2 linked regions of the Danio rerio genome follow. The protein of the gene in region 2 interacts with the protein of the main gene of each other region in a pairwise test. Links are inferred from orthologs where the notes say so. Each region holds a gene or a part of one and is shown on either strand. Other genes may lie near its edges.

Region 1 (3,660 bases), on a different chromosome or scaffold from region 2:
TTGATTTGAATCAGTTCAATGCTGAATTATTTTAGTTTGATGCTTTGACTCACTTGAGTGTTGATTTGATTCAGTTTGATAATTTCATTTAGGAGAGATTAAACAATAATAATTCATTAATTTAGAGCCCTATCTAACACACACACACAAACACACACACACACACACACACACCGTGTCCTGAGCTCCGCGGCGCACCAGTGGACACAGGTCATGGAAAACGATGAAGACTGTGTCTGGATCAGCCTGTTTTTCAGAGATCCAGGCTAAATCTGTGCGCTTCTCACTCTTTCTGTCCAGCATCTGCCTGTTGAAGTAGATATCCAGCTCCTGAACACCTCCGCTGGGCAAAAGATCCACATCTGGAGAACCGGACAGCAGACTGGCCACGTGACGGTGACCCCAAAACACGGCCACATCTCTGGCCGTCTGACCTGAGCCATTCTGGGCACTCGTATCACATCTGATGGAGAGGAGAAAACATCAGTTCAGTACTGATTTGATTCAGTTCAGTGATGGTTTTTGTTCAGTTCATTGAAGACTTGATTCAGTTTAATGTTGATTTAATTTAGTTCAGTGTGGAATAGATAAACTTGTCATGTTTTGACTCAATTAATGTTCATTTTATTCAATTCATTGTGGATTTAATTCAGAGCAGTGATGATTTGATTCAGTTCAGTGATGGTTTGATTCAAATCATTGTTGATTAGATTCAGTTCATTGTGGATTTGATTCAGTTTAATGCTGATTTAATTTAGTTCAGTGTGGAATAGATGAACTTGTCATTTTTTTGATTCAATTCAATGGTAATTTTGATCAATTAATTGTGGATTTGATTCAATTCATTGTGAATTTGATTCAGAACAGTGATGATTTGATTCACTTTAATGATAGGCGCGTGGTGATCAATGAGATTAACTGAGCGCAGGAAGGGGCGGAGTTGAAAACAGAGTCGGACACTTTGAGGCTCACAGTTGCAGCAGTCATGACCGATCACATGGCGTTATCATCATTTATTTATTTATAACACCAAAGATTTACAGAACAAATAAAACAGAATACAGTCTCTACAAGCTATAGATCATTTTTAAACAAACGGGTAATTATGAATTAAATATATAACAAACGCATGAGAGAAATAAGGGGAAACGAGAGGGTAATAAACATAAATTCATAGGCCTATTAAATACAAAGCCATAAGCACAAATTCTAAGAGATTAAACATCCCTCTTTAGGCTAATACTGCTTGTTTGAATATGCTAAAAAGGGTTTACATCAGGGGTCATCAACTCTATTTGTCAGAGGGCCAGAGTTTTACCAGACAGTCTCCTTGTGGGCCGGACCCCCAAGAAGAAAATCTAATAAAAATTCTCACTTTGGTTTAACATTATGTTTGATGTTTATAGTTTTTCCATTTCACTACAAACTGAAGGCATTTGATTCAGGCTCCCATCACCTATACCACAGTCAAACACTAGGATTGATAGAAAACTCTCCACAAACGCGGTGAAAATGCTGCTATTAGTCGAGGTGGCCCTTCAGAGCCAGCTGGCTGAAATTTAGGCCGCAGGCGATGTGAAGGCGGCTCTCCATGGTGCTGAAAGCCTGAGCGCATTTTGGGTATCTTGTCCCGAAACCTATGACATGTTGAAAAGTCTGACAGCGGCCAAGCCTGATGTGAAAAAGTTGGCGTCAGAGTGGAAATGTAACTTTAGCCATTGATTAGGCACTGTGAGCAGCCCGTTTCAGCATTGTGATTTGAATTCAAGCCCACTTAACGTTTCATTTGATGTGCAAACATTATTTGTGAGCTGTTTTGTTCTGGTACCAGGTTATTTATTTACCATGCTATTTTAAGTTGTGCCAGATTATTTTTCCTCTCTTTTTGCCAGTTTCATGCATGTTGTTGAGACTTAGAAATAAAAAAACAAATGTTCAGTAAGGGCATGAGGTAAATAATGCGCCCGCTTTTTTTTTTTTCGCTTTTTTTTTCAGTGATGGTTTGTTTCAGTTCAGTGTTGATTTAGTTCAATTCATTGTGGATCTGATTCAGTTTAATGTTGATTTAATTGAGTTCAGTGTAGAATAGATACATTTCAGTCATGTTTTGATTCAGTTCAGTGTTGATTTGGTTCAATTCATTGTGGATCTGATTCAGTTTAATGTTGATTTAATTGAGTTCAGTGTGGAATAGATAAATTTCAGTCATGTTTTTATCCAATTCGTTGTTGATTTGATTCAGATCATCGATGATTTGATTCAGTTTAGTGATGGTTTGATTCAGTTCAGTGTTGATTTAGTTCAATTCATTGTGGATTTGATTCAGTTTAATGTTGATTTAGTTGAGTTCAGTGTGGAATAGATACATTTCAATCATGTTTTGGTTCACTTCAGTGTTGATTTGAATCAGATCAGTGATGGTTTGATTCAGTTTAATGAGGACTTCTGTTTTTGGATGTTGATTTGATTCAGTTTAGTTATGGTTTGATTCAGTTGTGTAATGTTGATTTAATTTAGCTAAACATAGAATTGATTCATTTCAATCATGTTTAGGTTAACTTTAGTGTTGATTTGATTCAGTTCAGTGTTGATTTGATTCAGTTCAGTGATGGTTTGATTCAATTCAGTGTTGATTTGGTTCAATTCATAGTAGATTTGATTCAGTTAAATGTTGATTTAGACTTAGAGACTTAGAAATAAAAAAACAAATGTTCAGTAAGGGCATGAGGTAAATAATGCGCCCGCTTTTGTTTTTTTTTCAGTAATGGTTTGATTCAGTTCAGTGTTGATTTAATTGAGTTCAGTGTGGAATAGATAAATTTCAGTCATGTTTTTATCCAATTCATTGTTGATTTGATTCAGATCAGTGATGATTTGATTCAGTTTAGTGATGGTTTGATTCAGTTTAGTGATGGTTTGATTCAGTTCAGTGTTGATTTAATTCAATTCATTGTGGATTTGATTCAGTTTAATGTTGATTTAGTTGAGTTCAGTGTGGAATAGATACATTTCAATCATGTTTTGGTTCACTTCAGTGTTGATTTCAATCAGATCAGTGATGGTTTGATTCAGTTCATTGTGGATTTGATTCAGTTCAGTGATGGTTTGATTCAATTCAGAGATGATCTGGTTCAATTCATTGTTCATTTGATTCAGTTTAATGTTGATTTAATTGACTTCAGTGTAGAACAGATACATTTCAGTCATGTTTTGATTCAGTTCAGCGTTGATTTGGTTCAATTCATTGTGGATTTGATTCAGTTTAATGATGACTTCTATTTGATGTTGATTTGATTCAGTTGAGTATTGCTGTGATCAGTTTAGTCATGGTTTGATTTAGTTCATTGTTGATTGAATTTTGTGTTGATTTGATTCAATTCATTTAGTTTAGTTCTAAGTTCAATATTTCCATTTTACTTCTGTTTGGAATTAATTCAGTGTTAATTTGATTCAGTTCATTGTGGATTTGATTCAGTTGGAAATGAATAAGTTTTGAAATTTGATTATGAAAAACTACATTTCAGCAATAACAGCAGCTCAATATGAACTTAATTGACTCTGTGATTCTTCAAATGAGTCCAGCTTGATCTCCTGTTCTCCTCTGTCAGACTGATGTTACTCTGTGGATGGCGTTTGGCATCTCACCCGTTCTCCAGCAGG
Region 2 (3,660 bases):
GAGATAAACCCAAGGTATCCATAATCCTGGACCAGGCTGTATCCTGAGCTGATGCTGTGGTCGTCATGGAGTGCATGAGACCAGCCGCGTTTCCACTATCGCGCCTAAAGTGAGCGAGCCAAGGCCAGTCGCGTTTCCACTGTCACTTCCGAGTGCTAAACAGGTCAACTGGGGCTTCGGGGCAGAGTGAAAGGAGAGGCGGAGTGCAGACACAGTTTTCCGATCGCACACGAGTACATGCGGCAAATATAAATAAATAAGGGAAAGAAAACATCTAGCCTTATTGGCTGGGGTCTTTTTGCGTATGATCGCCCTTATGTTCCCCTTTTAAATGTAAGGCTGTTGCATAAAATAATAAAGTTTTAATTTATAAGTGACTTTTCTTTGCTGCGTCCTCCTTGATGTTTCAATAACGCATAATAATCTTTAGACCATATTAAAGACACAGCAGACAGTAAAGTTTTTCAAGAGTTTTTGTCAAGTTTAAAAGGTGTGCTTGTGCGCGTTTAGATGCCTGTATGCGTGTGTGAGACCGAGGGAAAGAGCACTCCCTTCACAGCTCTGTTGATGCCGCGCAGCTTTTTTCTTTTTGTTATGAGTCTAGTTTCTAGTTTTTTTTCACCTGCACTATTGTCAAATGGTGACGTTTTTTTTCTGAAAAGAAGCCCTTTTAACTTTTTCCCGAACCTCTCGCTGGCCTGCAGATACCCATACTAGTGGATGCTGCTTACTCATTGGCGGTAGGTAATGGGCTATATGCACACAGACTTTTAATTTTCAGCAGGGCAGCCCTATGGCTTCAAGTAAACTGTCTTTCCATTACAAAACTGTCACGTTTAAAATCAGCGATCTTCGCTGCCTGTTAGATATATGATATGATATAAGTGGGTCTCAGATCGGACAGGAAGCCCTGCATTTAATTCCAGTTCCCCCACCATGTCTTTAAAATATGACCCTTTATTTGACCCCAGTATTTTCAATGGAACTTCTGTTGCTACTGACGGCACTAGCGGTTACAACGCTCTTGTATATCTTTTTACGCTTAAACAACTAAATGAATGCTTGAGTCTATTTAACTGAGGATTTTGTAATTACATTACAACATCAGTGCTTTAAAAACAACCTTGTGAAATTGGAAATAGTCACATTAGGCTTTCATCGGAAGTTTATCGTTGGTTTTAAACTCTAGCCGTGCTTAGAGCTTATCAGCGATGTTATTTTCAATCAGTACACATTTTACATGGCATGATTCTGAATCACCAACAGCTCCAGGTATTTAGCATCCCAAATATCTCACGGATATCAGCGAATTATTGGTGATTCTCTCAGATCGTGACTTTAATAGTTCACACTTTGTTACTCACGTGAACAGGCTCTGATTTGCCTGTGATTTCAATCAGTTGTCTGCGATTTCTCAAAAACCTGTTGGCGAGTCAAAATCATGCAGTCTGAACTTAAAGCTGCATCAGAAAATTTCTCTACTATATAATAGGTGAAAAGGTATGTGAAGAAAGTAGCACATCTATTCATAAAACGCAAGATCCCTGGATAACATACCATTTCCGGCGAGATTCTGGTGTACCCAGTGGACTCTTCACTTGAGTATTTAAAGAATGCCACGGACTCCGTTAGGGGACGTTATTACAACCTGTTGGAAACCAGCATGCAAACGCAGCACTGAAATGACTCCACACTCAGACTCCTGTGATAATAAAAAAAGAGGCAAAAAAACTTTATTCTTTTTTTTTTCTAGACCAGGCTTGTTGTGAGAGATGGTGGGAGGGGGTTAAAACCAGCTGAAGGTGGAGTTGAGGAGATCAGACTGGCTCCTGTGGTTACGCCAGGGCTCCCATGGGGTCCCAGGCCGGGAGGACGACGGGGTCCTTCTGCATGACGTCCAGCACTTCAGGAGAGAGAAAACTCTTATCCACCACCACCTCGTACACGTACTCGGAGAACCACTCGTCTGTCATGATCAGATATCCTGCAGGAAGAGATGAGGCAAGGACAGCAGACAGAGATAAATGGCTAAAATGAAAGATGAGCAGAAGAAAGATAGCAAGACGGAGGAGTGGAACGCTGTTTAATTTGCTGCAGCAGAAGCTCTTGGACGAACGTCAGATCGCAATGCACTGTAGGACATCAGCCTACTGATTACTCATATATTCAGGAAAACAAAGATGGCACTGTTGAGAAAAAAATCACATTATATACCCTTTTCACAAGACGACGAGGACATGTTTCAATGGTCATCTGCATCTTAAATCCTTAAAGGTTTCAATAAGCTGAATTTTTTTAATACGCATGTACATTTAATAAGCTATACTTCATCATGCTATACAAAACTGTTAACGCTTTCGGCAAGGTGTTTCTAATGCTGCGTTTATGGACAGTACAGTAAAATTTGACATTAGCTATATTTCCATCCATGCAAATGCAAATTAAATGTATGCGCAAAACTGGAATATCGCATGAAAAGCGAATGCACTTAAAGCAACGTTGCTATTCAATGAGTCGGAGAATAAAATATTCACTTTCTGATAAAATGGCGTCAAAAAAGTAAAAACAAAATTAGTAGCTCAAATATATATGTTAAGGTACAAATATTAAATAAAAAATTCAAGAGCAAAATTCAAGAGAAACCAAAACTGTATTTTTCCCAATATTTTGCATAAATTTAAATGCTTTATGGTTCTATGTCGTTTGGTGACTAAAATATTATTTTAATAAATATATCCGTTTAACAAATCAGTTTTGTTTTCAAAAATATGACCTATATTCACTGAGAAATGGATAAAAATGTTCATTTTTTATAATGTGGTATACTCAGTTATGCTGCACATTGCATGTTAAGGCTAAATAGTTTGATTGTTTCCTATACCAGCAACATTTGAACCATTAAACAATTATAAATGTTTGCTAAAGTGTTGTTAACCTGTCAAGCTATCTTCGTTCGTGTTAAATATAAATGCCTTACAGATTGCTTTTACAAAAAGAATGAGTGGAATGAGTGGAAAACTGGAATATTGTATAAAAGCTGTGCGAATAATGTAGCGTTTTCATTCAACGAGTCAAAGAGAACATAATCGTCACATCCTGATAAACTGGTGCAAAAATCAAAAGTTAAACCGGAATTTGCCGTGTAGGAGAAGCTGCATCAATCTTTTCCTTATTTAATAAATGACTTATGCCTCAGAAGACAATGCAGACACGCAATGAACGCATGGTGGCCTTTAAAGGCATGAAACGTGGAGCTCAGATTCTCTTGACAGTTCTGGAGTTCATTAATATAATAACACTGATACCGAAAAGATTAAGGTGTTTTAGAATGACCAAAACAACATTTCAGGTGTTTTACAGTGTGCTCAGCCTGCTGGTTTGTCCATTCACACACACTTTTATCATCACATGACCTCTTGTAACAAAATCATATGACTTTTCTTTTCAACGCGCTTACCGGAATTTGTTCAGTAAAAGTGTTTCCATCGTAGTTTATGAGCATCTTTTCTTTTTGAATAAAAAGTTTATCCTACTCAGTTATGCGCACATGTTTTTTATGCGCAGTTTTAAAACTAATGCGGATCTTGGCGTTTCAATCTGATTTATGCGCATATCCAAAAGTGGATGGAAACGTAGCTATAGTTCTCTCGACTCGCACCC

What was found. The genes of interacting proteins can lie anywhere in the genome.
Region 1: the proteins of blmh (region 2) and nudt12 interact in binary tests that used the Homo sapiens proteins (3 or more experiments, as listed by UniProt). The two-hybrid records come from large-scale screens. The link is inferred for Danio rerio from reciprocal best matches to the Homo sapiens genes BLMH and NUDT12.

Annotation. Positions count from the first base shown.
Region 1 is NC_133183.1:903,229-906,888, reverse strand, and holds part of nudt12 (NAD-capped RNA hydrolase NUDT12), read right to left. Parts: coding exon 3,646-3,660; intron 464-3,645; coding exon 175-463; intron 1-174. UniProt on the Homo sapiens protein: mRNA decapping enzyme that specifically removes the nicotinamide adenine dinucleotide (NAD) cap from a subset of mRNAs by hydrolyzing the diphosphate linkage to produce nicotinamide mononucleotide (NMN) and 5' monophosphate mRNA.
Region 2 is NC_133190.1:31,140,104-31,143,763, forward strand, and holds part of blmh (bleomycin hydrolase), read right to left. Parts: intron 1,985-3,660; coding exon 1,836-1,984; 3' UTR 1,794-1,835; exon of another isoform or gene 1,706-1,793; intron 1,703-1,705; 3' UTR 1-1,702. UniProt on the Homo sapiens protein: The normal physiological role of BLM hydrolase is unknown, but it catalyzes the inactivation of the antitumor drug BLM (a glycopeptide) by hydrolyzing the carboxamide bond of its B-aminoalaninamide moiety thus protecting normal and malignant cells from BLM toxicity.